Linked DNA regions of Alligator mississippiensis. The protein of the gene in region 2 purifies or fractionates together with the protein of the main gene of each other region. This does not show direct contact. Links are inferred from orthologs where the notes say so. Each region holds a gene or a part of one and is shown on either strand. Other genes may lie near its edges. The genes, in order: MTA3, ZMYND8, MTA1 and MTA2.

What was found.
Region 1: the proteins of ZMYND8 (region 2) and MTA3 purify together in Homo sapiens (affinity purification with mass spectrometry, with the first as the bait; 3 studies listed by BioGRID). This does not show direct contact. The link is inferred for Alligator mississippiensis from reciprocal best matches to the Homo sapiens genes ZMYND8 and MTA3.
Region 3: the proteins of ZMYND8 (region 2) and MTA1 purify together in Homo sapiens (affinity purification with mass spectrometry; 3 studies listed by BioGRID and IntAct, with this or other methods). This does not show direct contact. The link is inferred for Alligator mississippiensis from reciprocal best matches to the Homo sapiens genes ZMYND8 and MTA1.
Region 4: the proteins of ZMYND8 (region 2) and MTA2 purify together in Homo sapiens (affinity purification with mass spectrometry; 3 studies listed by BioGRID and IntAct, with this or other methods). This does not show direct contact. The link is inferred for Alligator mississippiensis from reciprocal best matches to the Homo sapiens genes ZMYND8 and MTA2.

The regions. Positions count from the first base shown.
Region 1 is NC_081824.1:194,059,117-194,066,550, forward strand, and holds the start of MTA3 (metastasis-associated protein MTA3), read left to right. Parts: upstream 1-4,433; 5' UTR 4,434-4,643; coding exon 4,644-4,671; intron 4,672-7,434. UniProt on the Homo sapiens protein: Acts as a component of the histone deacetylase NuRD complex which participates in the remodeling of chromatin.
Region 2 is NC_081832.1:15,384,534-15,391,554, reverse strand, and holds the start of ZMYND8 (MYND-type zinc finger-containing chromatin reader ZMYND8), read right to left. Parts: upstream 3,007-7,021; 5' UTR 2,919-3,006; coding exon 2,905-2,918; intron 2,604-2,904; exon of another isoform or gene 2,502-2,603; intron 426-2,501; exon of another isoform or gene 340-425; intron 1-339. UniProt on the Homo sapiens protein: Chromatin reader that recognizes dual histone modifications such as histone H3.1 dimethylated at 'Lys-36' and histone H4 acetylated at 'Lys-16' (H3.1K36me2-H4K16ac) and histone H3 methylated at 'Lys-4' and histone H4 acetylated at 'Lys-14' (H3K4me1-H3K14ac).
Region 3 is NC_081828.1:43,019,334-43,026,227, reverse strand, and holds the start of MTA1 (metastasis-associated protein MTA1), read left to right. Parts: upstream 1-3,883; 5' UTR 3,884-4,136; coding exon 4,137-4,164; intron 4,165-6,894. UniProt on the Homo sapiens protein: Transcriptional coregulator which can act as both a transcriptional corepressor and coactivator. Acts as a component of the histone deacetylase NuRD complex which participates in the remodeling of chromatin.
Region 4 is NC_081838.1:3,231,579-3,239,232, reverse strand, and holds the start of MTA2 (metastasis-associated protein MTA2), read right to left. Parts: upstream 3,017-7,654; 5' UTR 2,899-3,016; coding exon 2,871-2,898; intron 2,115-2,870; coding exon 2,047-2,114; intron 1,682-2,046; coding exon 1,588-1,681; intron 734-1,587; coding exon 616-733; intron 462-615; coding exon 398-461; intron 167-397; coding exon 49-166; intron 1-48. Other genes in the region: EML3 (echinoderm microtubule-associated protein-like 3), read right to left, coding at 3,992-4,198, 4,746-4,876, 4,991-5,089, 5,520-5,607, 6,066-6,163, 6,372-6,460, 6,561-6,628, 6,811-6,942 and 1 more. UniProt on the Homo sapiens protein: May function as a transcriptional coregulator. Acts as a component of the histone deacetylase NuRD complex which participates in the remodeling of chromatin.

The DNA.
Region 1 (7,434 bases), on a different chromosome or scaffold from region 2:
GTATGAGGCCTGTGTTGCTGCATAATTAACAGCAGCTAAATTGCTCTTGTTTTCCACTAGAACTACTAAATTCAGGAAATGAAACATGGACTGTTCGATAATGTATGAGAAATGTTATACTAATGGTCACAGACTTTTTTTTAGAAGGGATATGAGCATGTGATTGACTGGAATACGTACTGCCAAGAAGGGAAACTCATATGTAGGGACCTAATGAAATCGCAGTTTTATAGATTTTGTGAAATCTGGCATTGGCTAAGAAAGTAGGCAATGCCAGTGAAATCTGAAGAAAGAAGACAGGGAGAGAGAGAGAGAGAGAGAGAGAGAGAGAAAAAGAAAACTCACTCAAAATAAAATCCTGGCTCCCCAGAGGAAGCCAGCAATTTTTGAGGTGCTGCGGCCTGCCACAGGGGGGAAGCAGAAGGGGAAGAGCTGCCCACTTGAAGGGCTGCAGGCAGCATAGCTGATGCCCCTGCCCCTCGCCGTTGATTGATTGTCTGTCATGTTGGCTGCCTGTCATGTGGCCCTACCTCTCTCCATCAATCCATGGTGAGGGGCAGGGCCTTTGCAGCCAATCAATGGTGAGGGGCAGGGTCACTGCCCCCCCTCAGCCAATCAGAGGAGTATGGGACGAGACCATTGCATTCTGCCCTCAAAACAGCGGCTGGACCCTGCATTCTGCCCCCGAACATGATTGCCAGGCCCCATATTCTGCCTGAAAAATCAGCAGATACTGCCTCAAATTCAGTAGGTCCCTTCTCATATGTATGGTTAATGATTTTTCCCCTTATGTTTACTAACTTATTGCATTCTACAGTGTATTTCCTTTTAACTCAGGAATGATGTGAGATGCCATCTTTATATCATCCATAGCATCTGATGAAGTAAGCTGTTGCCTATGAAAGTTTAAGCCTTTCTGAATGAGTTTGTCTCTAAGGTCTTGCTTTCTGCCATCTTTATAACAGGATACACAGACAGCAATCCTGGATGTGAGACAAATGACACATCATCATTGTTACGCAAGAAATTAGTAGAACCTTTTTGTTTTCCAAGGAAAGAGTCCAAATCATAATCTAGCTCTTTAATAATATATGTTTTTCATGTGATGAATTTAAAATAAACAAGGAAAATCACTTATAATTTTGTTATTGGTGCCTTGAGAGCATTTCTGAATCAGTTTTATTTGTAAACAACTCTTTTAAAACATTTATTGATTCTGAGACCAGCTACAAGATTTATCTTTGTTTCATCTAGTAATTTTTCCAGGATATATGGTAAACTTTTTCTATTGGACATTTTTCACTCTCAGACAGGGTTTTTGAAAACAATATAAGAATTTTCATGTGTCACCGTCCAACAAGCCTTGATTACTACTGTCAAATGTATTCAAGGAGATCATCACTTTAACTGAAGGTTTATGCTCGGATGAATTGTGTGTTACTGCTCAAATGAAAAAAAGGTACATCATCATGGTAAAACAAATGAAAAACCAACAATGCCACTGAATAAATGTGTAAGCAACTCCCTTTGGATGAGAATATACAGCTGTCTGTTGAGAATATTAATATTTGAGTACAGCAGTGATTATGCCAGTCAAACCTCTGGATGCTGAATGTAAAATACAACATGGAAATAAAAACCAAGAGGGTCACAAGTTAAAAACAGCACAGGGTGGGATTCATTGCTTTTATGACAAACTGTGATCCAGTGGAACAAAGGACCAGACCAGGAAGCCACAATTAAGTCCTGCCTCTACTAGTACTGTGGAAATTTGAACAAATTGTTCAAACTATCTTCTTCTAAATGTAAAAAGGTATAGTCATTATAGGCACATGATTGTAGCCTTCTGCTACAAGAAAGGTTTTTATGCTGTCTGTTAAGTGGTCTGAAATTGTTAAAAGGTGTGAAATACTATAATTGCTGTAAGATAAATGGCATGGTTAATTAGATCCATTTTGTGACTGAACATTTCAAAGAAAATATCTTACAAAAATAAGAGTGTGTCTTTTTTCATGGAGTAGTAGTACATCATGTATCTATAATGAGGGACAGTTAAAAAGTAGAATGAGGACCTGCTCATAGGAATTTCAATTATTTAAATACTCCAAATATGTATTTCACATACCCTATCAGTAAACACAAGTACACAAACTCTAATATCAATCTGTGGACATGCATAAGAGTACACAGGCACCTGCATGCACCCCTCTTCCATAATAAGCATGCATTTGTATCTTCTCTAAAGTGCCTTTATGTATGGGTGCATACTTCACTGCCCAAAGACACAACTGTGATTATGTTCCTTACTTTCATTATAGGCACCCATTCATTTACTTGTGCTTTATAACAAACCTATGTTTAGATCAGTGATTCTTAAGCAGGGTGCCACAAGATCCACTCACCAATATTGAAATGTTATGCAGTCTTAGTACTGCTAAGTGAGCAAACACCTATAACTGACTCACAAGGTAAACCCGGAGACTTCAAATAGGAATCCAATCAAACCGGAAAACACTCTGTCCTATAATCAATTTTCTGAGCCCTTTACACCAGAATTGCTCTTTTTTCCTGTAGTTAAAAATGAGTGAAAGCTAAGAGCTGGCATTTACTGAGGGGTGCTTTGAATCTAGAAAAGTGAAAAGCCACTCATCTAGATACACAGCTCTTAACATTTCTCCTTCCATGGACATACAACAGACCACTGGTTCTCAACCTTTTTAGACTCAGGGCAGGCACCCTTTGAAAAATGTCAGCTCTTAGCTTCCACTCATTTTTCAATGTTGGGAAAATACTAGAGGCATTCTTCTGTTGTAAAGAACTCTGAAGGACTGCAACAGGTCAGATTATTTTTTACACTGTGGATTCCTATCCGTAGTCTCTGGGTTGATCCTGTGAGTGGGGTGTGCCAAGACTCCTGGAGGGTTCTGGCTGAAAGGTCTTGCCCCTGTGCTCAGGGTTAGACCAAATGCTGTAGTTAGAATCAAGAAGGAATTTTACCCCATGGTATATCAGAAATTGGTATAGACTGTGGAAGTTTTTGCCTTCCTCTGTAGCAGGGGGCCTGGCTCTTTTCCTTGGATCTCTCAGGTGTGTTTAATAATACTTATAGTAGCAGGACATGGGCTGCTGTGGTCCCCCTGCTGTACTTGTGGCAGATGAGGGTGCTGCGCCTTGTGGTTGTGGGGTGGGCAATTATTTTGGGCGGAGGGCCTCTTACTGAGTTTTGGCAAGCAATCAAGGGCTGCATGACAGGGAGCCCAGGGCAGATCAATATTCATTTTCTAAATTTTTTAGGAGCCCCTCAGGCCGGATAGAATGGCGTGGTGGACCACCTTTTGCCCACCCCTGGTGTAGTCAGTCACATGCAGGTGTTTGCTAACAGGTTAGACCAGGGGTGTCAAACTTGTCTGGACTTGCAGGCCAGAGAAGTGCTACAGGATTAGTGTGTGGGCTGGATGACTGGTGTGGGGATGGCCCAGTGGGCTTGACTGGGCCCACAGACTCTGTTTCCAGTCCAGCGGGAAGAGGCCTGCCACCCCAGGCATTTACCTGCTATGACAAGAATGAGCTGCGGACCTAGAAGCACAGGCTCAGGGGTGACTTGGTGGCAGCCTATAAGTATATAAGGGGTATGCATCAGGATTTGGGGGAATGTCTGTTCACCAGAACACCCCAAGGCATGACAAGGTCCAGTGGTCACAAACTCCAGCAAGACCATTTTAGGCCGTGCATAAGGAAAAACTTCCTTACTGGCTGAGCCTCCAAGGTCTGGAATAGACTCCTTACCAAAGTGGTGCAAGCACCTACTCTGGACACCTACTCTGGACACCTTCAACAAACATTTGATCTTATGAGGTCCCTTCCAGCCCTAATGTCTACAAAAATCTATGAAAGTCTGTGCCCTGGCTATCTCCCCATATGTCTGTGGGGGCTCCAGTGCCGTAGCTCTCATGAGGGTGCTTGGCTAAGGTGGTGGGACAATGTCCCTAGCAAGGCTGGAGGCTGGTCTTTTGGCCTGCAGGCCGTGTGTGACACCCTGGGGTTAGACAAAGGACTGGAGCTAGACGTCTCAGTGGTGGCAGGTGATGGAACAAGGGGCAATGGTCTCAAGTTGCAGGATGGGAAGTTTAGATACATTATTAGGGGGAAAAAATAAACTTTCAAGAGGAGGGTGGTAAAGCACTGGAGCAGGTTACCCACTCTCCATCCTTAGGAGGTGTTTAAGACCGGCTAGACAAAGCCAGGATGCTGTAGTTGGGCTGGTCATGCTTTGAGCAGGGGGGTGGATCAGACGCCCCCCTGACATCCCTTCCAACCCACATTTCCTATGATGTGTATGGGGCCAGCTTGGCTAAGGCCCGTCCTGCACCGGGCGAGGGGGAGGATGCCCCGATGCCCCCCGGCGGCCCGCCCACTCCAGCCCGACTCGTGCGCGGCGCCCCGGCCCGGCGTGCAGGTGTCTCTCCGCCCTGCGCGGGCCCCCGCAGGGCCAGCCCCCGGGCCAAGATTAACCCCTTGCGCGCTGCAATCAGCGCGCGGGCGGGAGGAGGAGGGGGGAGGTGGTGGGAGCCGCGGGAGCCGCTCCCTCCTCGCCTAGCCCGGCCCGGCGGCGGCGGCGGGAGGAGGAGGCGCAGCGCGCAGACATGGCGGCCAACATGTACCGAGTGGGAGGTAGGTGGGAGCCGGGCCCGGCCCCCCGGGGCGCTGCGGGCAAGGGGCAGCGCGTAGGGGGGGAGGGGTGTGTGGGGTCGGGCCCGGCCCCGGGCAGCGGGGCAGGACGGGGAGCAGGGCCCGGCCCGGCCCGGCGCTGCCACGGGGAGAGGGCACGGGCGGCCTGCCCGCAGGGCCGGGGGCACACGCAGCGCCCCCGCCCCCCCTCGGCGGGGCGAGCACGTGCTCCCCGCAGCCTCTGGGTGTCCCTGTGTGCACACGTGTGTGCCTGTGTGCGTGTATGTACCTGTAGTGTGTGCACCTCTGTGTGACTGCTCGGGCGTGTGTGTACCTGTAGTGTGCGTGCACACGTGTGCACATCTGTGTGCGCCTACGTGTACCTGTAGTGTGTGCGCACGTGTGTGCTTGTGCGCCTACGTGCGTACCTGAAGTGTGCGTGCTAGTGTGCCTGTGCGCGTGCTCGTGCACATAAATGCCCATACCTGTAGTGTGCACATATACATGTGGCTCTGTTTGTGTTTGTACACGTGTGTCTGTGTATGTGCACACATGTTCCTGTGTGTGCGCGTGCATATGTGCATGTGCCTGTGTGTGCTCACGTGTGCCTGGGTGTGTGCTTATGCACCTGTGCCTGCCTGTGTGGGTGTGTACATGTGTGCCTGTGTGTGTACCCATGCTTGTGTGTGTGTTGCGGGGGGAGGCAGCCATCCCTGGGCAGGAGGTTGTTGAGGGCCGGAGGTCCTGTGCCTGGCCTCTGCTCAGGTCTGATGGGCCCACAACCTGCATCTGTCTGGGACTTCCTGCAGTGTCTGTCATTCCCCCTTGCTGCTTCTTGAAGGTGCAGTTCCTACCCCTGCTTCCCTTTCCATCCCCACCCCACCGCACCACAGTTTGATGATAAGCTGCCTGCGGTCTGCGGGGGAATAGAGCAATTTTTTTTTTCATCCCCCTTCTCTCCCTTGTGTGTCGGTTCACCCGCTGCATGGGCACAAAGGAAGTGAGGCCAGTCAGAGAGTCCAAGAGTCTGTGGAAGAAGACAAACACTTCCTGTGTACACCGCAATACTGCTTTGCTGTGATTCCTGGCATAAAGAATGTGAAAGGGAAAAGTCCAGCTGAATTTTGCCTCTGTACACCCCCTGACATTTACTACACAATAGTATACCTGTCCTATCACTGCCCAAAGTAGTATCCGGTGCAGGGGACATGGAGAACAGGAACTTAATAAGATACATGTTTTCCTGTTTGAGCAAATCATGTGCTAAGGAAGCCTGAATTAAAGATGGCAAACTGATGAACTGGGTCCCCCTTGTCCCCCTTCCACCTGATGCAGTTATAGCAACAAGTCCACTCTGTTCCTCTTCCTCTGTTAGGTCATTTAGTCCTGTAAATCTTTACTCAGTCTTTACTAGAGTAGTGCTTCTGAAGATCAGGTAATGGTTTACAACAAGGATGTCAAAGATGTGGCCTGCAGGCTGGATCTGGCCTACAGAGCCATCATCTGTACAGTGGAGCTCTTGGAGGGGTAGAATGAGCAGGCGCAGACCCACAATTTAATTTTGAGGTATGGAGACTGGGTTTTTGGTTGTAGCCGTGTTGGTCTAAGGACATAGGCAGGCAAGGTTCTTTGGGTAGATGTGATATCTTTTATTAGACCAACTGAGTAGTTGGGAAAAAGTTCTTTGCAAGCTTTTGGGTGCAATCACCCTTCTTCAGGCATAGGGAGTCTCTGCTGTTCTGAGATCTCTAAGGAATCAAAAGCTAAAAGTGTGGCAGGATGTCAGTGAGAATGTAAATAGGTACAACTTTTTGTTTTCCTAATTTTTGCCTGTTTACATTCTCACTGACATCTTGCCACACTTCTAGCTTCTCTCATTTCTTGGAGTCTCAGAACAGCAGAGACTCTCTATGCCTGAAGAAGGGTGATTGTGCCCAAAAGCTTGCAAAGAACTTTTTTCCAACTACTCAGTTGGTCTAATAAAAGGTATTGCATCTACCCAAAGAACCTTGCCTGCTGAGGTATGGAGATGTGTTTCTGCTGCAGGCTGAGCCATGACTGCATTAATCTCTGTGGCTCCCTGAGCTGACGCAGCCCTGCTGCTACCACTGACCAAGGTGTGTGTGGAGTTGGCCAGCAAGGCTCCTTGGGATCTGAATCTGGCCAGGGGGTGTTGCAAATGAGTTTGACATCCTTGATGTACACAATGTAGTTCCTGCTGCTCAGACTGGATTCTCATCCTGTGGGTCTTCAACTCGTAATAGAGGTGAAAACCATCCTCTCATTAGGGTGAAACGAGATGGGATCCTGAAACTTTCTTTTCTTAGGTGGGATCATGATATGAAAAAAGTTGAGAACCACTAGTTGAGAGCTTGCTAAACTTTCTACTTTTGTGTTCCAGATGAAAAACAATGATAGCATGCATATTTTTTGTGGTTTAATCTTAAGATGTTTCTCAACAACCATCTGGGAGGTAGGGTGGGTTATAGTGAAGCTAGTTAATTGGAGATTACCCTTGAAGACTGTAATCAGTAATTGGAGATTACTGGATTATATTCACTTCTACCATATATAGAGAAAACTCAGACATTGTTGCAAAACGAAAATAAGACAAACTTTCAAATTACATTTGAATTTAGTGAAGCATTTCTTAGAGAATCTCCAAAAAAGGTAGGTTTTGAGAAAACAGATTGAGGGAAAGATGTTGCGCACAGATGTTTTGATTATTTTAGGGGGTTGGACTCGATGATCTGTGAGGTCCCTTCC
Region 2 (7,021 bases):
AACAGCTAATCATATTCATCCTGGACAATTGAAATTAATTCTTCTGGCTACTAAAGAACAAAAAGCAATTATATCATTAATTCCTGTGTATGTCAGGATAATGGCCATTTTCTGCAAGCTGAATATACTTCAGCTACATTGCTTCATGCATGCTCCATCTAATTGTGATATTAACAAGACCCAGTCCTGCAAAATCTTGGGGAGATATGTTTCCCCCCCACACCCTGGGTTTGTCATTTAAATAAAACCTCACATCCCATCTGGCCTGCATAGTAGAAAAATAGCACAGAGTGCTTCTTATTATGCAATCTATAAAAAGGGAGTGAGATAACATCATACCTTGACAAAGCACCAAAAATATATGAAATTCTTCAGCTTGGCTGAATTTGCTTTACTTAGATGGAACAAAGATGGTAGAAATTTCCAGAAGGCCTTTCTCAGTCTTGCCACTGCAATTGTCAATCTTTAACCTACCCTCTGTTTCTATTGGCTCAAGTACTCCATGGAGCAGCGTGATTGGGCTGATCTGTAAAACAACACTGCTGTCTCTACCTTGACTCAGACATCTTGCTGCAATGCAGACATTTATTTTTTGTGAACTATAAAAGAATTATATTTGAGTGATTAAAAATAGAGAACTTTAACAGACTCACGATACTATGTTTCATTACATACGCCAGGGCAGCTTATACAAATATGCTTCATTGTCAGCAACGTGTCTGGAGGTGCAGATTTGAAACAGATCCTAGTTTAACAAAACCTATGGGAGCCATTTTAATACAAGCTTTTTGATTGCAGATCACTTACTCCTGCTTCCTCATATTAAACAAATATAATATTGTGCAATGTTTCAGACTCCAAACCAAACTGCTAATGTGTATAAATTGCTGCTAGGAAAATTATGTCCAAATGCAATTTCTGATTTTACTAATCAGAGATAAATTAAAACAGCACAAACTTATTGCTTAGCTGCACTATCATTTTTTTGTATGCTGAAACAGCAGTTCATTTCAGTTTTGGTTTAGTTTGTAATCTGACTTTTCAGTTAATACTTCTGTTTCACACTAAGATATTAATCTTGGCAAAGAAGCAACCAGAGTTAAATGGCATGTTACACTATGTTATCAAAGTCATGGAAACCTTTATAAAAAAGTTAGCATAAAATCCTGACAAAGTACAGTAATATCTAAAACCAGATTAGATTTGGGTTCATTCTTAAAATTATATAAGCATTATGGGTTGAATTATTCCAAATAAATGCAGTTAGGCTTAAAACACTAAAGAATCTATCTCCTTGCAGTTTGTTAAAATATGCACTCAAATGCTATGATTAAAATTTGCAATAAAGTGCAAAACGGTCAAAATTACTAATAAATCAAACAAATGCATCTTAGATTATATTTCATATGGTATTAAAACAGATTTAGTAACCAACATCCAGTTAACTGTATAAGGACACCACATTGCTGAGCACTAGCACTTTCATTACACCTCATAAGCCTGAGAAACAGCCTGACTGCACTCTAACCTCCACACATGCTAATTAAGAATCTAGGAACAAAAAGTAAGTAGAAATTTTTTCACTGGCCAGAGGTAAACAGGAAGTATAACCTTCAAGTTTAGCAGCAGATTATCAGAAAAACAGTGCATTCAAGCTGGAACAGAATTTACATGAACAAGTCATTGCAAATAGATGCTAAACAAAACTCCTGATTTTTAATGCTACTAGCCACGGACTATACTTCACCTGCTGGGCTAACTGCACCCTGTTAAAAGCAAAATATTTTGTAAACTATTAAAAATGTTCAGAGACGAGCACACTGCTTACTTACCAACTGTTCAAGCAACCATCTCATTTTTCCAGTTAAGAAGATACAACAGGCTGGCAGATTTGGAAATTGATCAAAAGGGAAATATTTGAAATAATTACGTAGCATTAAACCAAAAGAAAAAAAAAAGGGAGAAAAACGAACAACATGTACTACTGCCATGAACCACACATGATTTTATATCCCCTGGACTCCACAACATAGAACTGTGGCTGGTAGAGTGTAAAATAAAATAGAAACAGATAAAAGGTGCATTAGTTTATTTGAACCATGCCAGAGAAAGAAGCTAACAATTCAAAAGCATATTTTTCTTTAAACAATTAGAAACATAAACAGATGATATCCTGCATTTTATTGACCAGAAACCTATTTGTAAAACCTGCAGTGTAAGAAACTCATTTTTAAAGGCACAAAATATTAACCATATATTGCCCTTCATTAAAAGAAACATAATATATTAACTACTCCTATAAGAAAAAAGTTCAAAATCCATTTCAAGTTAAGATAAGCTGCACAAAAAACATGATGCAACAGCACAACACCACCTAGGCCCAATAACTACAATCTGCCATTAGCACTTTTTGCTGATGTCTAGGTTTTTAAAAATCCCATATTTTCTCAGAGATAACTTATCTTAGCTGTTCCATTCACTGTTTAGAAAGGTAAACTTGCCTGTTCTGCTGTCTGCCATTATCCCTGCTTGACTCCCTGTAGGGCAGTTAAATGCATCTGCTCCCTAGCTTCCATTTTCTCTTCAGCAGGCATGTGACACAACAGACAATAGTGCTGGCAAACTGCTCAGAGAGAGAAAGCTGCTTTGGAATACCAGGATCTTGATAAACTCTAAAAACACCATCCTCCTGTGAAGTAGTAGGTATGCCAAGGTTTTGCCAGTTTGCAAAATAAAGCTATGGCTAATGGCTACTAACCATGTGACCCAAGAAAGCAAATTTAAACAGTTTCAACTTAATAAAGTGCTGTGGTGTGAGTTTTGCACGACAGATCACAGAGAATCACACTCTCAGCCCACAGCTCATAGGTCTTAGAGAAAAAAAATGTAAAAAGTAAAGCTTACCTCTGTGGATGCATTGTTAACACAGTGTTATGTCAATACTTATAAAACATGGAGGACAGGCTCTCAGTACTCAGACAGAAAGGGCTTGGCACTTCAGCTTGATGATCTGTCTTCCTAATAAAAGCTAATCCTGGATTGGCTACTTTGGTAAATCTGAATGTAAAGCTTCAGGGGATTGGCTGAAACACTTCCTGAGCGATTATCTTTGTGCAGCTCTGGCAAGCAGGAGCCATCCTGTGCATAGAGAAGACAGGCTAAGCTAGGCCTGCTTCAGCAGAAGAAACTTAAAAAGAGACCCCAAACAGGAACTCTTGATAAAAAACACCCAGATTTTCAAGCAGGGGAAAGTGATCACTAACTGCTTGCACAAATAAAATGCATCTCAAACTGTCATTACTGACTGAACTCAGAGATTTTAAATCAGCAACAAAGAGGGTTCATCATCCAGGTCTAGGAGAAAAGCTAAAATCACTTTGCTGGTATTCTGAAATAAACCCCATTCAGAAAAAGCTGTGCTTTAGAAAGGGAGGAAAGCATCTTGACACAGAACAGACAGGCAGGAACAAAATTAAAGAAAAACTGAAAGACCAGAATTAATGATTTTCTTACAGATTTTAAAACCCCCTAAAATTAGCACTAAAAGTCACATACCCAGAGCATAATTTCATTAGACATTGTGATACCAGAATCTAGGTGAAAACCATGGCATGTTTGATTTCAACAAAAACATATTTTGGATTACAGAGTAGGAAGCTGGTTTCCTTAACTAAAAAAAAAAAAGAAAGAAAAGAAATTAAAAGCTGCAGTGAATAGCAAAAATCATCAGTATTGCACCACAGATGCTGTATTCTCAAATTCCCCCTCCCCCATCCTCAGGCCTGCTAAAGCTGTCAGTTAAACAAAAATCTGACTTCCGTATTAGTGGCTGCAGCTGCAGCTTCCTGTCTATTAACCCTGTCAGACTTGGTACTTTTTTAAATGTAGGCCCTAAAAGGGAATGGATTTCCATGTCTGGAATAATACTAGAGTCTGCTTTCAGATGGAGATATGAGCATCAGCACAGCTCTCTCAATTCTGCAGCATTTTGCCTCAGTTGTTACCATAGATTAAGGCTCTGGAGAATGAAGCAATTTGAGAAGATGGTATGTGATTTTGGAGTTAGAGCACAATGCATCTGAACAACCAGTCTGATTTGGGGCCAATTCTTAACCACCTTATTCAAAGAAAATGAGCTTTCATTCCTCTTCCCAAACACCCTGTGATTCAGTTCTCTTCTGAATACAGTGAGGGTTAGTGGATTTATCACTATTCTAGGAAGAGGAAAGGCACAATTCCAGAGGGAGATTTTAAAGGGCCGAATTTATACAAAGACTTTACATTTGTGCTCCAATATTTACACTGACATCAGGTAACTAGGCGTTCAAAGTCTATCTGCACCTACAAATTACTTGGCCATTACAGGTAAAAAGCAACTAATTTTAAAATGTAAAAATAATTGTTTATGCAAAGAAAGGTGCAGGGTAGTGGGAAAAGGGAGAAATTTAAGATTTAAATAGGTATTACCTTCACAGACACACAGACAGGTCTGTCCATTTTGAATTTTCCTGACTCACATGTATACAATTCAATATATAATAAACATCCTAGGCTGTAGTGTCCCATGTTGAATTCATGTTATTTCAGAGATAACAATCAGTCTCTTAGGAAAACTCCCAAACCACCATGTCACAAAACAATGTACATTTTTCTGTTTGTATTTTAGGCTGTACCAGCGGATTAATGGCCCCAAGTGTAATACTCATTTCATAAGCGATTCTAGAGTCTCTGCTGGAAGCATTTTCCCTTTTTAGCCCTGGCAATGTTTTTCAGGGCAGAGAGCAGGAAGGCTCACAGATTACACTGGCAGTTTTGTTCTGTTTTAGGAATGAAGCAGAAACAGTATGCTGCTATAAAGGGAAATGCACAGCCCACTACAGCAGCAAGAACATGTTGGAAATCCATGACATTCAAGTGAGCACTTGCAGCATTTTCCTTTTAATAGTTCAAACCCTTCAAGTCAGGTCTGTGCCTAAAACCCTGCAAAATAAAAGATAATTTCCCTCAATGTTTAACTATCTAGATTTTGATTCGTCCATGCACTAACTGCAAGAGAAAGGGCGTCACCAACTACTAAAGTCTATTTTCATTAATAGATAGCTCAGCTCTAGCATTACTCAGATTACACACAGAATGAAAGTGAACATGCATTATTCGTCAATTTTTTTCCTCAGCAACCTCATTCTGTGAATGCAATGGTGCTGATGGTGGCTGGGCAGATTGCCAAACTGACACACTTGGTCTTTAGGGAAGGAATCAGTGCATCAGCTAATAATTATGGTCTGCTGCATAACCTAGCAGCAACAGCAGCAGCCTTAGAAGAGGCCCCAAGTTCTACCATGATGAGTCAAAGAAATAGTGGCCTAAGTTAGAAAGAGTAATCCAAATGCCTCTGGTCAACCACCCAGCAAAATAAGAACAAAACCAAAAAAAAGCTGCTCTTTCAAACAGCATATCCTGTTTAGAATGCAAACCTGGTAGGGTAAAAAGTCTTTTTAGTTATTTAAAAGCGGATCAAGCAAGGGAATGCTTTAAATGTCTTGTCTGCTTTCTTTCTTGCTGGAGGTGGGCACCCAGTTTAAAGCCTGACAGGAACCCTAGTTACAATGAGCATACTATACCTATAAATTATATGCAAGACAATTAAATAAACCTCCTATTTCAACTTAATCTCTTTTACATAGGAGGAGTAAATTTTGGGGGGAAGGGGGAGGGGAAGGAAAAGAAAGAGAAGAGGAAGCCAGACAGCTTCATTAAGGTATGGGAGAGGACAAAGAGACGGATTAGCATTCACCCAGTTCAATGCTTTAAAGATTCAAGTTGTTAAAAACACTAAGTAGTTGAAGAGGGAAAAAAAATTAGAAAAGGAAGAGAGGGGGTAATACTGAAAGAGAGAAACAGGGAAAACATAGGGGAAGGAAGGGGAAGACAAAAATATCAAAGAAGGAATTAATTCTACAGATGTTGCAACCACCAACTGTCTTGGGCAGGAGGAACTATACCCAGGAAAGAACCAGAAACTGCACCTACTAGCAAATACAAGCAGGAGGCACCATTTCCTCCAGTTTCAGTGTGCACCCCTACCCTTCCACCCCTGGACTGACTCCCATAATGCATCTTCTGTCCATTACAAGCAGAGGTCTCATATAGACAGGGGAAAAAAAGGATCCCCCCACATATATTAGGAAGCATGATGGGAATGAAAATGGGAGCCCGTAGGGAAGAGATGTATGTATAGGGGAGGAGCGTTCGGTTTGCATATATGGTCCAGCCTGTGACACTGAGTGTGCCACACGCACGCACGCACACACGCACGCACACACGATAAAGTCACATTCCTAAAGGAAAATGCAGAAAGCAAAAGGATCAGGAGAAAGTTACATTAAGGCAGTGATTCTCACCCTGGAGTGCCTTGAGATCCTTTCAGGGGTGCCATGCAATGTTAGCTCTATTTGGTGCACAAACAGGATTCACAAGATAAACCCAGAGATTTTAAATAGGAATCCATAGTGTTAAAAGCATTCTGACCTGGTATGATCCAAGTTCTTTGCAAGAGATGAGTTGCTCTATTATTTTTCTATACGGAAAAAAAAAAAAAAAAGTGAAAACTTAAGAGCTAACATTCTCTATGGGATGCCTTGAGTCTAGTGAGAGGTAACTGGACTATATCAACGGGTATCTTGAGTCCTAAAAGGTTGAGAACCACTGCATTTAGGATCTGCAGGCTGATTTCACATTTTCTCTCTCGAAATGAGAGCCCTACCTCCTTCCTACATTTGGGATTCTAAAAACTAAGGCCCAGATCTTATTTCATTTACTATATGTTTAAGCAGACTTTGGCATCTGAGTGTGATACTATTCCAACCTGCTCAAGTCTCTGAAAAAACATAAGCATGCTTACTCATATAATGTATCATCTTATAATCAGACTAAATCACAAAAGAGCAGTGAGCAAGAAGCACCATCCACCTTTTGCATTAACTGTCTTTCAGAGACTCAAGCAGGGTGGAAGAGGATCACA
Region 3 (6,894 bases), on a different chromosome or scaffold from region 2:
CGCCCCAAGGGATGACGAGGTCAAATGGTTATAAACTACTGCAAGACCATTTCTGGCTGGACATAAGGAAGAATTTCTTTACTGTCCAAGCCCCCAAGGTCTGGAATAGCCTGCCATGGGAGGTGGTTCAAGCACCTACACTGAATGCCTTCAAGAGAAATTTGGATGCTTAAGTTGCTGGGATCCTATGACCGCAGCTGACTTCCTGTCCCTTGGGTTAGGGGGCTGGACTCGATGATCTTCTGAGGTCCCTTCCAGCCCTAATGTCTATGAAAACAGCAGTGGAAGAGAGAGAAATTCTCATTTGGTGAAAGACCAGAGAGGGGGAGATTAAGGGAAGAATAGTGGCATCTTTATCCCATTGCTGACTGGGGTCACTTCTGTTCCTGGTACAACTTCTAGCAGTCCCAGAATTCCTGTAAATTATACCCTGCTGCCTTTAGTTTATGAAATTGTCTTCACTGCTGAGGGTTGCTAGAATGACTTTGAACTTGTGAATCTGGGATGGAGGTTGGCATTAGAGTCTCTACCCCAGCTTCAAGCCACTTGAAGACTCCCAATTAACACGGTTTTGCCCTCAAAACACTGCAAAATAGATGCATCAGTTGGGAGAATTACTGGCTTCCTCTCCAAATAATCTTGTGCAACAGTAGTCTCCTTATTGCATGTAGCTGAAGATTTCTGTTAAGTGCTGTTCTACCCTAGTAATGGCAAGCAGGCAGTGTCATCAGTTGGCACAGTGAATTTCACTGTTTCCTGTTCAGTGTCACAAATATCTCAGAAATCTTCTGCATGGAAATTAGATTCATTGGGGCCTGAAGCAAAGGAGTTTGTGGATGACATTGTAGTTGAACGGAATCTATTAAGCTCAACTTAAAGCTAAAGTAAATTTAGAGGGCAACTGAAGATAATTGACTAAAGCTAAACTGATAAAGATGTATGTTCCAGCAAACTAGTTATATTGATTGATAAAGAAAGGGTTAGGGCAGTGACAAAAGAAATCAAAGCCACAGCTGAAAGGCCATCGCTGTGAAAATAGAAATGGTATTATGTCTCAGTAATTGCTAGATTTTGGAACCCTTGAAAGGCACGTTTGTAGTTATTTGCATAAAACAATGAAGGCAAACCTGAGATAAGGTAAAGGAATGTGTTTTTGAGGGTCTGATGCATCTACTTACTGTATCCCCAATAGTGCTATTTGATGATGCTTCCAGGTTTGTAGCTATTTCAGTAGAAACCAGCAGCTATGATCTTGGTAAGTTTGTGCTTTAGTTGCACAGATTAATGGAAGATGAGTGGCTGGAACGCTATTCAGAAAACTATTGGTTGAGATTTTCAAAGACAATGGAGGATTTAGCCCTTTTGCATTTGTAGAGGTAAACATTTTAAAAAGCTTTGGAAATCTTGACTATTGCATATGAAGACTCCAAGAGAAGCCATGCTGAAACAGAGAGAATTTCTGATTAACAAACGCACAAGTAATTTGTAGGATATTTGAAAACATTTAATAATTTCATGTTGGTGATGGAGCACAAACCACTTGTACCCTCACAAACAGACAAAACGCATCTTAAATGCCAGAGATTGCTCATGGGTTTAACTTTCAAGTGTATTGCTATAATACATACTGAAGCAGTTGCCAATCTTTTAGAGAGCCTGTAAAAGTGGTTACGCTTTCTCGAAGAGCCCTATTTTATGATCTGACCTCTCCAGAGGCCATATATGTAAAAGAGTTTCTGCTCACTCTTGCCAGAAAAAAAAAAAAGAACCGATTAAAATAGCTGTTTGGTCTGTCTCTGCAAGCCGGTTCCAAAGTTTTCAAACAAGATTGGCTTGATTATGTATCAGGGGTTTACCATGCAGTCTGTGACATCTATTTAATGAGAGTTTAACTCTGTAAAGAGAAAAGTTTGATTACCTATAGTATTTGTACTGTGATCCCACAGTCCCTGCAGAGTGACCTGTTGTAAAGACTGCATAAGGAGTAGCAGGACCTCAAAAATACTAGTGTTAGCCTGGATGTTAGTGTGCTGACCCAATACACCACAGGGCCTAAAATGAAGGTAAAAACATGCAAATCTTGAGTGATCTGAAAGAAAGGCAATTCGAATAACTTCCTTTGATGAGAAGGAGGAAATGAGGCAGGTCTGGTCAATAACCATTAACTTTTTCTAGCTTTATAAAAATGCTACTTCTCATTAAACCTGTAAGCCAAAAGGGCTTAGGGAAAGTTAGAAGACTTTTTTTTTCCAGTTTGACCTCTGAAAAATGGTTGCTGACAATGGATTATATTTGCCAGCCCTGAATTTCAACTTATGGTGATTATAGAACAATTTCAATATTAATTCTAGCCTTCCCCCAGGGAATGTAATACCAGAGAAAGCTGTATATTATATTACTAAGAAAAGTCTACAAAAAAAAAATAAAAAATTCAACGCTAGCTCTGAGCTCCACAGCCATGTCTGCTTCAGTCACAAGAGTTACCTCAGGTCAGTTGAAAAACAAGGCTCTAACCTCAGAAGTACATTTTAGGCTTGAGTAATCCTAGTTTAAAGGATACAAAAGCTCTAGGGTGCTGACTCCAAAGACATCTTTTGGCTTTCTTCTTTAACTGTCAGAATGCTGCCTAAAGCTTACTTGAAGATAAACCTGGACACTCGGCCCTATTAAAATTGGATGGGAAGTACTGGACAACACCAGCTGCTGTCACCGAACGTAATGGTACAGAGTTTCTGTGTCGTCCACACTGGTTAAGGAACTCAGCACAGAAGGAGCAGCAACTACCACCAGCCAGCTCCACGTGCAGCAGACTTGACGGGTGCTCCTTTTAGCAGCGGTAGTGTTAGAGTGATGTTGTAGCTGTGATGGTCAAGGAATTATGCAAGAGGCGAGGATTTCTTAGGATGACATCTCTTATTGGACTTAACTGTATAGTTGGGATACAGCTAGACAAGCCTAGAGACCTATTGGAGGTCTTGCATTTGAATCCTGGTCTAACTCTACCCCAGCTATGCAGCATGTTCAATAAAAGATGTCGCCCCGAGGAATCCTTGCCTCTCGCCTAATGGCGATGGCACTTGAACCACAACCCTAGTGAACTGTGATTCCCGCTCCTCCTGGAGCGAATTGATTGGCCAAAACCCTCAAGGCTGGGATAAGGCCTAACAGGGGAATGAGGGAGGCACCTTTAATTTTTCTAATGTTTAGTGTTGTTTTTACTGAAAGAAAGGTGTGACCTTAAACCCAGAAGCTAGGAAGCTGGGGGCCTGCGTGTTGTTGAGGTGCAGTAGCCATCCTGCCCTGGCTGCGTGCGGCAGGAAACGGTCCCTGTCGCTGTCCATCTCAAGCTCGGTTTTAACTGCGCTTTCCTGTGGCCGCGACCACCGCCAGAAGGGCTTAAGCAACCGGGGCCTGGCTTGGTGTAACCACGGCCTCAGACAAGCGGCTTTAAGGCTCCTGCGCCTGGATCCTTTGTTTCGCTACGGGCAGTTTCTTGTTCAGCAGTAGGAAGTCGCTTGGTGCGGGGCTTTAACGTGGGATGGGGTCAGGCCAGAGATGGCGCAGGCGGTGCTCTGTGTGGGACCAGCCCGGTGCCCATGCCCCAGCCACCCAGCGGGTTCAAACGGGGTTCCCCAGGGCGGTGGGTGGCACCTGCGCGGTCCAGGCCAGGAGCCCGCCTGCCTCCCCGGGGGCCTGGCAGACCCGGGGCGGGGAGGGCCCCCCACCCGCCGGGGCCGAGGCCCAGCAGAGCCCGCTCTCGGCGCTGAACAGAGCATAGCAGAGCAGGGCCGGGCCGGGCCGGGCCGCCGCGCTCCCGGGGCGGGGCGGGGCGGGGCGGGGCGGGTCAGGTGGGGCGGGGCGAGGCAGGGCGGCCTAGGCCTCGCGACGCCGCCACCATCACCTCCACCCCGCCCGAGTGCCAGCCCTCTCTCGGCCCGGCCCTCCCTTCGCTTCGCCTCGCCTCGCCTCGCCTCGCCTTCCCTGCCGGCCGGGGGAGGCGGCGGCCGGCGCGGCCCCTTTAATTCCCTCGTTCCCCTCCCCCTCCCGGCCGCTCCAGCCTCCATTTTCCAGCGGCTCCGGCACCTGGAGGCAGCGGCGGTGGGAGCGGGCCGGGCCCCCGCGCTCCCCGCCCGGGCATGGCCGCCAACATGTACCGGGTCGGAGGTAAGAGTCCCCGCGGAGGGGCCCCGGCCCCCTACCTGCCTCTCTCTCTCCCGCCTGCCGGCTGGCCGGCCGCTCCTCCCCGTGTGCGGCGGCGTCACGGGCCGGGCCGGGGGTGCGTGAGGCTGGAGCATGTCCCGGGGCTGGGGGGCGAAGAGAGAGGGCCGGGGCAGCGCTGGCTGGAGGGGCGCGGGTGTGTGCTGCCTGCCGCCCCCGCCCTGCGCATCCTGGCCGGCGCTGGCCCGGGGCGAGCACGGGCCCCGCGGTGAGGCCGAGCTTTCGGGGCGGCCTCGGCCCTCCGCCCGCTCCCTCGGGGGAGCTGGTCGCGGAGCCCGTCTCAGGCTGGCGGCGGGCGGGGGGAATCGGAGACCCCTGCACTGCTTCGGCCCCAGGGCGCGGGGGTCCCGAGTGCGCTGTGGCGCTCGCTCTCTTGGGGTGGGGAGATGGACTAGAGTAGATTTAACAAAGAAAACCTGACAGGTGGGAGAGCGGCAGGAAGTTGCAGCAGCCCCAGCCCCGACGGGGGCTTGCTGTTGTCCTCCCGGTCCTGCTCATGGATATGGCTCTCCCTGTGCAACTTGTTGCACCTCCCTGTTGCCTGGCCCTCCGTGAAATGCCAGGACATGGATACCTTCCTCCTGGCTGCGTTTTGGCTTGATGATGAGACCGTACTACAATTTGGTTGCCATGACTTTGCCCCTTGGGCCACTGGGAAGATGGTGGCGAGGGTTGAGCGCCGCTGCCATGGATTGGAGACGCTTGAGACCTGGACGGTGAAGAACAAGAAGTTTTGCTGGCTTTCGGCTCGTTTCTTGTCGCAGTTTGTAAACGGGGTTTCTGAGGGCCTGGCTGTTCTGTTAGTGAGTACCAGTCTCTCTAGTTGTATTGGCTTAGAGCGATAGTTAGCCCTGTTAGTCTGAAGGCAGGGCAGGGTGGCACCTTAGTAACTGAATGAGTTAGTCTCTAAGGTGTTGCTTTGCTTTGCTTGGAAGACAGAGAGCTGCTCTGTAGGCCATGCTGTTCAAGGCAAAGACTATTTATCGTGATTACCACTCTGTTAACTTACATGTGGATGAAACCTTCACTTGTCATGTTGCCAAGACCTACAGGGATGATGGAACTATTTCTAGATGACTACTCTGTTGAGTGTGACTAGAAGTAGGAGGCTGTGTTGGTTGCCCCTGAGTTTGGAAACAAGTACCTTTCTGCTTCAAACTTTGTTGTAACTCGCACAGGAGATGGGTGCACACAAGATGTGATTAGGTCATGAGCAGCTGTGAATAGACCATCTTGATTCTGATGATATATTGACTACAGGTTTCCTTCGCCAACCATGGTTTTGAGTCTCCACGCTTAAAATTCTGTATACTGTGGTAGCCAAAACGGTATACAGTTCTAAGTAACCCCAGTTTTCCACGGCTGCGTATCGGCCCGCCCCCTGCCATTTTTCATATATGCCTTTTGTCTTGCCTACCACAGGAACTTTCAGGAATCTAACCTGAATGGCTAGTGGTTGGCAAGGGAAGCCTGTAGTTGTTTTGGTCACCCAGTCATATTGTCCTCCTGAGATACTTTGGTGCTTGTATGGATGATGACCCATGTATGAATCAACCAGTACCTGCCCTAGTGATCGTAGGCCTATACTAGGCTGTTTTTTTGACTCAGTAAATGTAGATGGTAATAACTCTTAAAACCAAGTTTGGAAGTTAGTTTGACAGCAGTTGTGCTGAACATTATTTTATTGTGGTATGGTCATACGCTTGTGCAAACTGTTGCCAGGGATTTGTTCGTGGTCTGGGCCATAGCTTTGTTCCTGTTGACCTGTGAAATCTGTTTATCTGTCCTCCAGAACTAACAGTTGAGTCTTATCTTTCTCACGGCATTTTTTCCCTGTTTGGCTGGTAGACAACTCTTGTAGGGACTTACAGGACCTACAGTGCCTTTCAGGAAACTCTGTTTTGCGCTCTAATATGGATGCTATATTTCCTAAATGTATATTGTATGTATACATGTACAACGCTTGCAGATCACCTTGGTTTATAGATGAATGGCAACTTGAAAAGGAGGTCAGAGCATCAGTTGCAGAAATCAAGTGCCGAATTTGACTGCTCGTTCTAAACTTTTCAGATCATGTCTCTTAGCTATAACAGAGATGCTTTTCTTCACCAAACATTCACAGGAGTATGAATATGGGCTGCTTTTGGAAACAATCAAATGTGTATTTTCCATCTTTGTTTTAGGCAGGTTTGAGTGGCTTTGCACTGAATTGGCTGCCTGTGTGATCACCGGTATCTGTTTGGATTTTGCATCTCTAGGAATGTTGTGTTGGGCAAAACTGACCTCTGAATATATTGGGGAGCTTTGGTTTGGGACTTGCTGCTTGGACTTCTGCCCCTTCTGGCTACTAATGTGCTCTGATGTAAATTCACTGTTGTGGGATTGGGATTTTACCTATTCAGGAGGATATTGTCAGGGCCTCCAAGAGAACAAATAGATACTCTTATCAGTAAACTTCCTTTTCCAGCCTACTTCTGGATGAAAGTTAGTGGGCAGCTTCTCACATGGTCTGGAGTTAAAAGAATTCCCTTATTTTATTATTAAACCTGAATACAGAATAAAGAGCCCTTGTTTTGAGTCTGTAAAAGTGTGTCTACACAGAAATGGAAACTGCAATTGCAGGGCAGGAAGGCAAACCAATGCAAGCTTTAATCTAGCTGCCAAGGTTTAAGCCAG
Region 4 (7,654 bases), on a different chromosome or scaffold from region 2:
TCCAGCCAAGGGGGATGGACGCGGTCCCCTTCCCTCCCCTCCCCATACCTTCAGCCAGCCGGTCGGGGATCTCAGCCTGGTACTTGCAGCCGACACGAATCTCGCCCTGGTCGGCCAAGAGGGTCTTCTGCACAGGGTCGAACACCAGCGAGTAGAAGAAACAGTCCTGGAACCGGGGGAGAGGAAATGAACCTTGGGCTGGGAACACCCCAGAGCCCCCAGCCCTCCAGACCCATGCCCAGGGAACTGCCCTCCCCCTAGCTGCCAGCCCAAAAGAGACTAGCTCCCCCACCTCCAGGGAGATGCACCCCCAACCCCAGCCCAAAACAGTTCTTCCCCCCCCCAAGCTCTACAGAGACCAGGACCTTGCCCCCAGAGAGCTACGACCCCCCCTCACCTCCTTCTCCAGGTACTGGCCCAGGATGTCAGTCTCGTTGAGCAGTGTCACGCTGCACTTCCCCCTGTGGGCAACCAGCAAGATCACGTGTCACATGCTGGAGTTCCCTCCCTGCCCAGGCCAGCTCAAGGAATCCCCCCCCCCCTCACCTGCCACCCCCCCACCTGCCACATGCAAAGCTTCCTCCCTGGTAGCTGCTGAGGTGCCCTCCAACACACCTTATGTGAGTGGCCGGCAGCGACTCGAACTGGCGGGACAGGAAGAGCTCGCGATGCTTCAGCTGGTGCCGCTGCTGCTCTGTCATTGTTGGTTGCTTTGACTCCTCCTCAAACTCCCCTGGGGGAACATGCCAAGCAGGGGGAGCAGGGGAAGGGGGGGTGTCAGGTAGCTCCACACAGCTCCCTCTTCATGCCAAGGAGATGGGCTCAGACCCCTGCCCACACTTCCAGGCCCCCCTCCCCGCCCCCAGCAAGAGCCGCTCCCCCCAGCCCCCATGGCAGGAAGCGGCTCCGTGGAGGCAGCTGCGGTCCAGCCCCGCCTGTCTCCAGCTCCTGGCAGCTGCCCAAGGGCTTGGGGGTGGAAAATCTACCCCTGCTCCTGCGCCCAGGAAACCCCAGGCAGAGCCCTCGCCCCCCCAATGCCATTAAGCCCACGTGGTCTGCAGCCTCCAGGCTGCACCGGGTCACGGGCCAGGGCAGCCCTGCATGGTACAGTGGGAGGAAACCCGCCACCCCTCAGCCCAGCTCTGTCAGTGCCTCCCATTCCTGACCTGCAGCCCCTCTCAGCCCCGCCGGTCCCTCACTCCTAACCCCACAGTCCCTTTCAACCCCTATCCCTGCCAGTGCCCCTCACATCCCAACTCGCAGCTCTCTGCCAGTGCCCTTCACCCCCAACCTGCAGCCCCCGCTAGCCCTGCCAACGCCCCTCACTCTTGACCCCCAAATTCTGCCAGCGCTCCCTCACCCCGGGCCCTCAGCCCCTGCGCCCCACTCCCAGGCCCCTGCTACACGGGCAGTGCTGGGAGAAACAAAACCAGCCCCCAATTTGCTCAGAGACAAGTCAGGGCAGCTCAGTCCCTGGGGTTGGACCTGGGCTGCTCTGTACCCCGTCACCCTCAGCCCAGGCCCAGGATAGACCCCCCTCCCTCCACAGTGGGAGGGGTCACAGCTCCCCCCTGGTGCCCCACTCACGGGCATTGCTGTCGGCCAGGCTGTTGAGGCTGCTGGAGATGTCACGGCGCCGGAAGAGGCAGACGACCTTGGCCTCCACATTGCCGTTGGCTGTCTGGGGGCAAGAGTGAAAGGCTGCCACAGCGCCCTGGGCACAGTTGCCCCCTGCATGTCTCCCCAGCCCCCCCAGCCTTGGTCTGCAACCCCCCACATCCCCTCAGTCAAGCCCTCCTCTGCCCCCCCAGACCTGCCCCACAACCCCCTCATCTCCCAAGGCAGGCCAGGCCCACCCCAGCCCAAACAAGACTCCCCCCGTGCAACCCCCAGACAAGCCGAGCCCCCTCAACCCTCTGCAGAACTGCCCCAGAGCAGGGCCTCAAAGGGGGGGAAGGGGCCTGGACGCCAGCCCCTGGGGCATGGGAGGGGGCGCGACTCCATCCTGCCGGGGTCCGTCCCCAGGGCGGCACCGGGGCCTCTCACCTTGTTGAGCTCCTCGATGCGCCGGACGAGATAGGGGTTGCTAGAGGAGTTTTCGAAGTAGACGTAGTCTGGGGGCGGGGAGGGAAGGGGGGGCTGTCAGGGGGGGCAAAAGCGGCGGGACCCCCAACCCAGCCCCAGCACCGACCCCTGCAATCAGCCCCCCTGAGGCCTAGTGCCCCCGACTGCGGCCCCCGGGGCGATCCCCACCCCCGCGCCCAGGGGCTGAATCTCTCTTGCTGCCCTCCCCCGCCCTGACCTGCCCCCCAGCCCCCATCTAGATACACCCCCCCGGGATCCCCAAACTCCCCGTGGGGCCGCCTGCCCCCCACTCCCCCACACGGCTCCCCACCCCCTGGGATGACCTGTCCCAGCCCCCCCAAACTGCCCCCTCAGAGCTCATCGACCCCCTCCAATACCCCTCGGGGGCCGAGCTACCCCAGGGACCCCCAAATCACCCCTCGGGGGCAGAGCTGCACCCCCACCCCCCTCCAAATACCCTGGGGGGGGCCGCTACCCCCCCCCCAGCAACACCCCAGGGCTCTGAAAAGTTACCCCCCAGGCCCTCAAACTGCCCCCACTCCCTCCAAATACCCCAGTGGGGGGTTACATAACCCAGCCCCTCCACTTGCCCCCAAGCTACCCCCGAGATGACCTGCCCCCCTCACCCCCCCGAATGCCCCACGGGGGATATCTACCCCAGCCCCCACGGGCTCAACTCCCCCCACCCCCTCCAAATACCCAGGGGGGGCACTTGCCCCTCCCCCCCAGGGGACGGGGGTCGGTTCCGGTTCCGGTTCGGTGCCGGGCCCCACGCGCGCACTCACCGCCCACCCGGTACATGTTGGCCGCCATGGCCCCGGGCCTGGCCCGGCTCGGCTCGGCGGAGCTCGCTACCGGCAGCCCCGGCCGCTCTTCATCGCCTCCCGCCGCCGCCTCCTCCTCCTCACGCAGCGCCACTCGGGTGTTTCCGCCTCCGCTTCGGACGTTTCCGGTGCCGCTCGGGTGTTTCCGCCGCCAGCTCGGGCACTTCCGGCATCACTCGGGCGTTTCCGTCACCGCCCTGCCGCTTCCGCCACCACCTCGGGCATTCCCGCCAGCACTTCGAGTATTTACGGCGGCGCTCGAGTATTTCCGCCCCTAACTCCACTCTCGGCCACTTCCGCTGCTAGCTTCGGGCCCCCCCCCGGAAGAGCCTTGGCTCGGTTTCGGCTCTTTCCGGCAGCACTCGAGTCTTTCCGCCCGCCGCCGCTTTCGGCTCCTTCCGGAAAGGGGGGGTACTTCGGGTCTTTCCGGCTCCCCATTAACCTTTTCCTCGCCGTGTCGCACCATTTCTTCCCTTTTACTCCCTCGCCCTCTTTAGCATATATGAGCATAGATCTGGCTTCTATTTGCATATATTAGCATAGAACCAAAAAAAATAGACATGCACCCTCCATACCCCCAGTTAGTGACTCTTTAGCCCCAACCCCAAGGCGCTGATGAGATGCAGCCAGTGCTGAGGTGGAACATGGGGATGCTGGTGCAAACATGCAGCCACCTCTAGGGTGGGGCACAGCTCCCCTGCATCCAGGGATACCTCTGAGCCCAACGCAAAGATGCAGCCACCTCTGCGGTGGGGCAGACCCCCCCACTGCCCCAGCCGAGCCTCCCCGCCCCACCAGGAAGGAGACGGGAGCCCGGCCCCTGATGCCAAGGCTTTATTTGGGCCTGTCACAGTGTCGAGAGCGGCTTGGAGCAGCCGGGAATGTAAACGAAGGTGGGGGGGCTGCATCCTGCCCCCCCCAGACTTGGTCCCGTGGAGGAGGGAGGGGGTGCTTGGCCCCTCCCTGCTTTGGCACTGCCTGCCTCCCCCTCCTGCTCTGCCCTGGGGGAGTTATGGTTAATGAAGCAGGTCACATCGTTAGCGTGAGTTAGTGCCGCGGCTGGCTGGGGGTGGGGGGGGCACTCAGGGCCCCCCCCCAGCCTCCTGGAAGGAGAGGGAGGTGGAGGAGAAGGAGCGGCTGCGGGGGGGCACGGCGCCCCCCCCGCTCAGCACCCGCCACTGGAAGATGCTGGTGTCCTTGCCCCCCAGCGAGACCAGGTGCCCGTCGTCGTGGGTGAAGCGCACGTTGGTCACGTGGCTGCCGTGGCCACCATACATGTGGCTGGGGGCCTGTGGGAGGGAGGAGTTGTGGGGTGCAGGAGTTGGGGGGCTGAGACCCCCCCATAGAACCCCAGTGCCCCCCTAAGGTCCCAGAGCCTCCTCCAGGCCCTGCTGAGCCACCCACCCCATATGAGACCTCCTAGAGCTCCCCAGCTGCACTGAAACCCCCCACCCCAATAAGAGACCCCTCCAAAACCTCAGGACCCCCACACTCTCTGCAGCAACCCCAGCTCTGAATATAAGACCCCCCCCTAAAACCTCAGGAAACCCCTCGAGTTCGGCCAGCCATATTGTGGAACCCCCCCCGGTCCCCCCACCCCCAGCAGAGACCCCCCTCAAGACACACTACCCACTACCTGGCCTACAAGGCGGAGTGTGCCCCCCACCCTGATACCTGCCCCCTCTCCAGGCAAGATGCCCTGGGCAGAGACACGCCAAGACAGCCAGGGCCCTCTGCCCCAGAAATTCTCCGATCCAGAATTGCCTCAGGTCCAGGGCAGAAGGGCCTGGCACCCCCACCCCAACCCCCAGGGAGGGGGCGGGGGGGGCATCTGACCTTGGCACGGGAGCAGGGGTACTGGAAGAGATGCACCTTGCAGAAGTCATCGGCCACGGCCACCACGCGCTCGCTGTGCGACCGGCACAGGGAGTTGATGTCTGTGCCGTCCGAGCCATCCGGCCACACGCCTGCACACACATGAGCACGTGTGGGCATTCCTCTGTGCCCCCTGCCCCCCCTGGTTCTCCCCGGCACCCCCAGGGGACACCCCCAGGGTCCCCCTCCCCATGTCCCCAGCTCACCGAAGACGTGGAATCCGAGCACGCAGGTGTACGTTGCCCACTCCCGGTCCCGGCTCTCGAACCGGTTACGCAGCAGCTTGCAGCTCCCAGCCACGTCCCCTGGGGGGGCATGGAAGGGGTGTGGGGGGGATGCACAGCCTGACTCCCTCCAGCCCCAGCCCCCTTGGAAGCTCCTCAGCCCCATGCAACCCACTTCCAGCCCCCTCACCCCATGGGGACCCCAGACCCATGCAACCCACCCTGCAGCTACCCCATCCTCCAGGCCGCATGGAGACCCCTCCAACCCGCCCTCACACCATGCAACCCCGCTCTACCTCATGCAACCCCACCCACAGCCTCCATCCCATGGAGAGCCCCCCACCCTGCAGCTACCCACCCTCCCAGCCCCCATGGAGACCTCCCTGAACCCCCCCCCAGCCAACCTGGAAACCCCCAGAGACACCCAACCCCATGCAACCCCCTTCCCTCCAATCCTGCCACACCCAGTTGAGCCCCCCAGCGCAGCCCATTGGAGCCCCCCGCAGCTCACAGTAGAGGATCTCATAGTCGCCTGAGTTGGACATGATGAACTTCCCGTCCTTGGACCAGTCCAGGTGGGTGATAAAGCTTGAGTGACCCTGGCAGGGGGGGAGGGGGGTATAGCAGGGGCATGAGACAGACAGACCCCGCCATTATGCCAGAGGCCTATAGCCCCATCCCAGGACCCCGTCCCAGGGCCAAATGCTGACAGTCTGACCAATGGCTGGACCCGTACCCTAGCCAGTACCCCTCCCCAGCCCCCCCAACACTCTAGACCCCCCCACAAACCCAGAACCCCCCACCCTGCTCCTGTACCCAGCACCCCAAGACTCCCACACCCAGCCAAAGCCCACCCCAGTCCCCAGCCCCATTTTGAGATCCCCCTACCTGCCCCTGCCCCTCCGAGCACCAAGACCCGCCTCCCAGACCCCAATACCCAGAGACCGCCCCCCAGCACCGACAGACCCTCTCACCTTGATTCTGCCCCACCTAGCATCCAGAGATCTCCCCCCCTTCTTTGCCCCTGCCCCCTTGCCCACCGGCCCTCAGGGCTCACCGTGCAGCGGCCAAGGCGGCTGTACTTGCGAGCACCGTCACCCACGCTATAGATGTAGATGAAGTTGTCGTGGGACCCGATGGCCAGGAACTCCCCGTCTGCAAGGGGGGGGCAGTGAGCCCATGGGGGGGGCTAGGACCCTGGGGGTGCAGAAAGGGGGGTTGGGGCTTTGGAGGGGAGGAGGGGGCCCACGGGGGCAGGTGTGACCCTATGGAGGAGCTGTGACCCTATAAATCCCTGTAGGGGAGATAGGAGGAACCATGGAGAGGGTGGGGGGTGACTCCGTGGGGGGGGGGGGGGTGCGACCTGGTGAGTAGCGCATGACCGAGAGCTGCTCGTTGCCGTCCGAGCCGCTGGCTACAACCTGCTGCGTCTCCGTGTCCAGCACCAGCCACCTGTAGGGGATGGGGGGTCAGGGCCCCTGGGAAAAAAAGGGCCTGAGGGAGGGGGGGCACCAGCTGCCCCCCCACCCCCCGCCCCAGGGGGGGCAGTTACCGTCCAGTGTTGAGTCCCACGGCCGCCACCTGCCCGCTGGGGTGGAAGTCAGCGCACAGCCCTGTGTCCTGGGGGATGGGAAGCGTCAGCCGGGCCCAGCAGCCCCCCAGGCTGCAGGTCCAGCACCCCCAAGTGCCCTCCCAAATGTCCCCCCTGAGGCCACAGACCACCCCCCAAACACCCCCACAGGGCTGCAGAGTCCCCCAAGACTCTCCTTGACGCCACAGCCCCCAAAGGCCCCCCCCCCCACCTCGAGGAGCAGGCTCCAGGCCAGGCTGTGGGCAGCGCCGTCCCATAGGCAGAGCTGTCGGTCGTGGCCGCAGGTGAGGAAGACGCAGAGCCGCGGGTGTGTGGCCAGGCCCCACAGTTCATCTGTGTGCCCCTGGGGGAGCAGAGCAGGCTGTGACCCCTCCCCCCCCCCAGCTCATCCGTGTGCCCCTGGGGAGGGGAGCAGCTGTGACCCCCCAACCCCCCTGCAGCTCGTCCGAGCACCCTGAGGCAGCAAGGTGGGCTCGGACCCCCAGCCTCTGCCAGCTCTAACCCCCCCCCCCCAGGACTCCCACAGCTCCCTTCTGGCCCCATAGCCCCCACACAGCCCACTCAGCCTCCCTACAGCACATCCAGATGCTGCTGGGCACATGAACGGGGCAGGCTGGGAACCTCCAGCCCCCCAAGGCCCCCCCCAGTGTAGCTATACCCCCCATTACCTGGACAATGGGGACGAAGCCCTGGGCCAGCCCCCCCCGCAGCACTGCGTTGCGTGTCGTCCCCACCAGCAGCTCCCCCCCGGCACCTTCTGCGATGGTGCGCACGGCCCCAAACCGCTCAGACAGCTGGGGGAGTGGGAGGGGGGTGTCAGGGGGCAGCTGGAACCACCCTGCCCAGCCCCCAGAGCTGGGGAGAGCCCAGCATCTGGGCTCCCAGCCCCCGCTGCTCTCATCCCCCACTGCCCCCGAGGACCCCGGCATCCGGGCTCCCTGCTCTCAACCCGCACTCCTACTCCCTTCCCCAGGCTGGAGACAACTCAGGCACCCAGTCCTACCAGCTCTCACCCCCCAGTCTCACCACCCAGAGAACCCAGGTGTCCGGCCTCC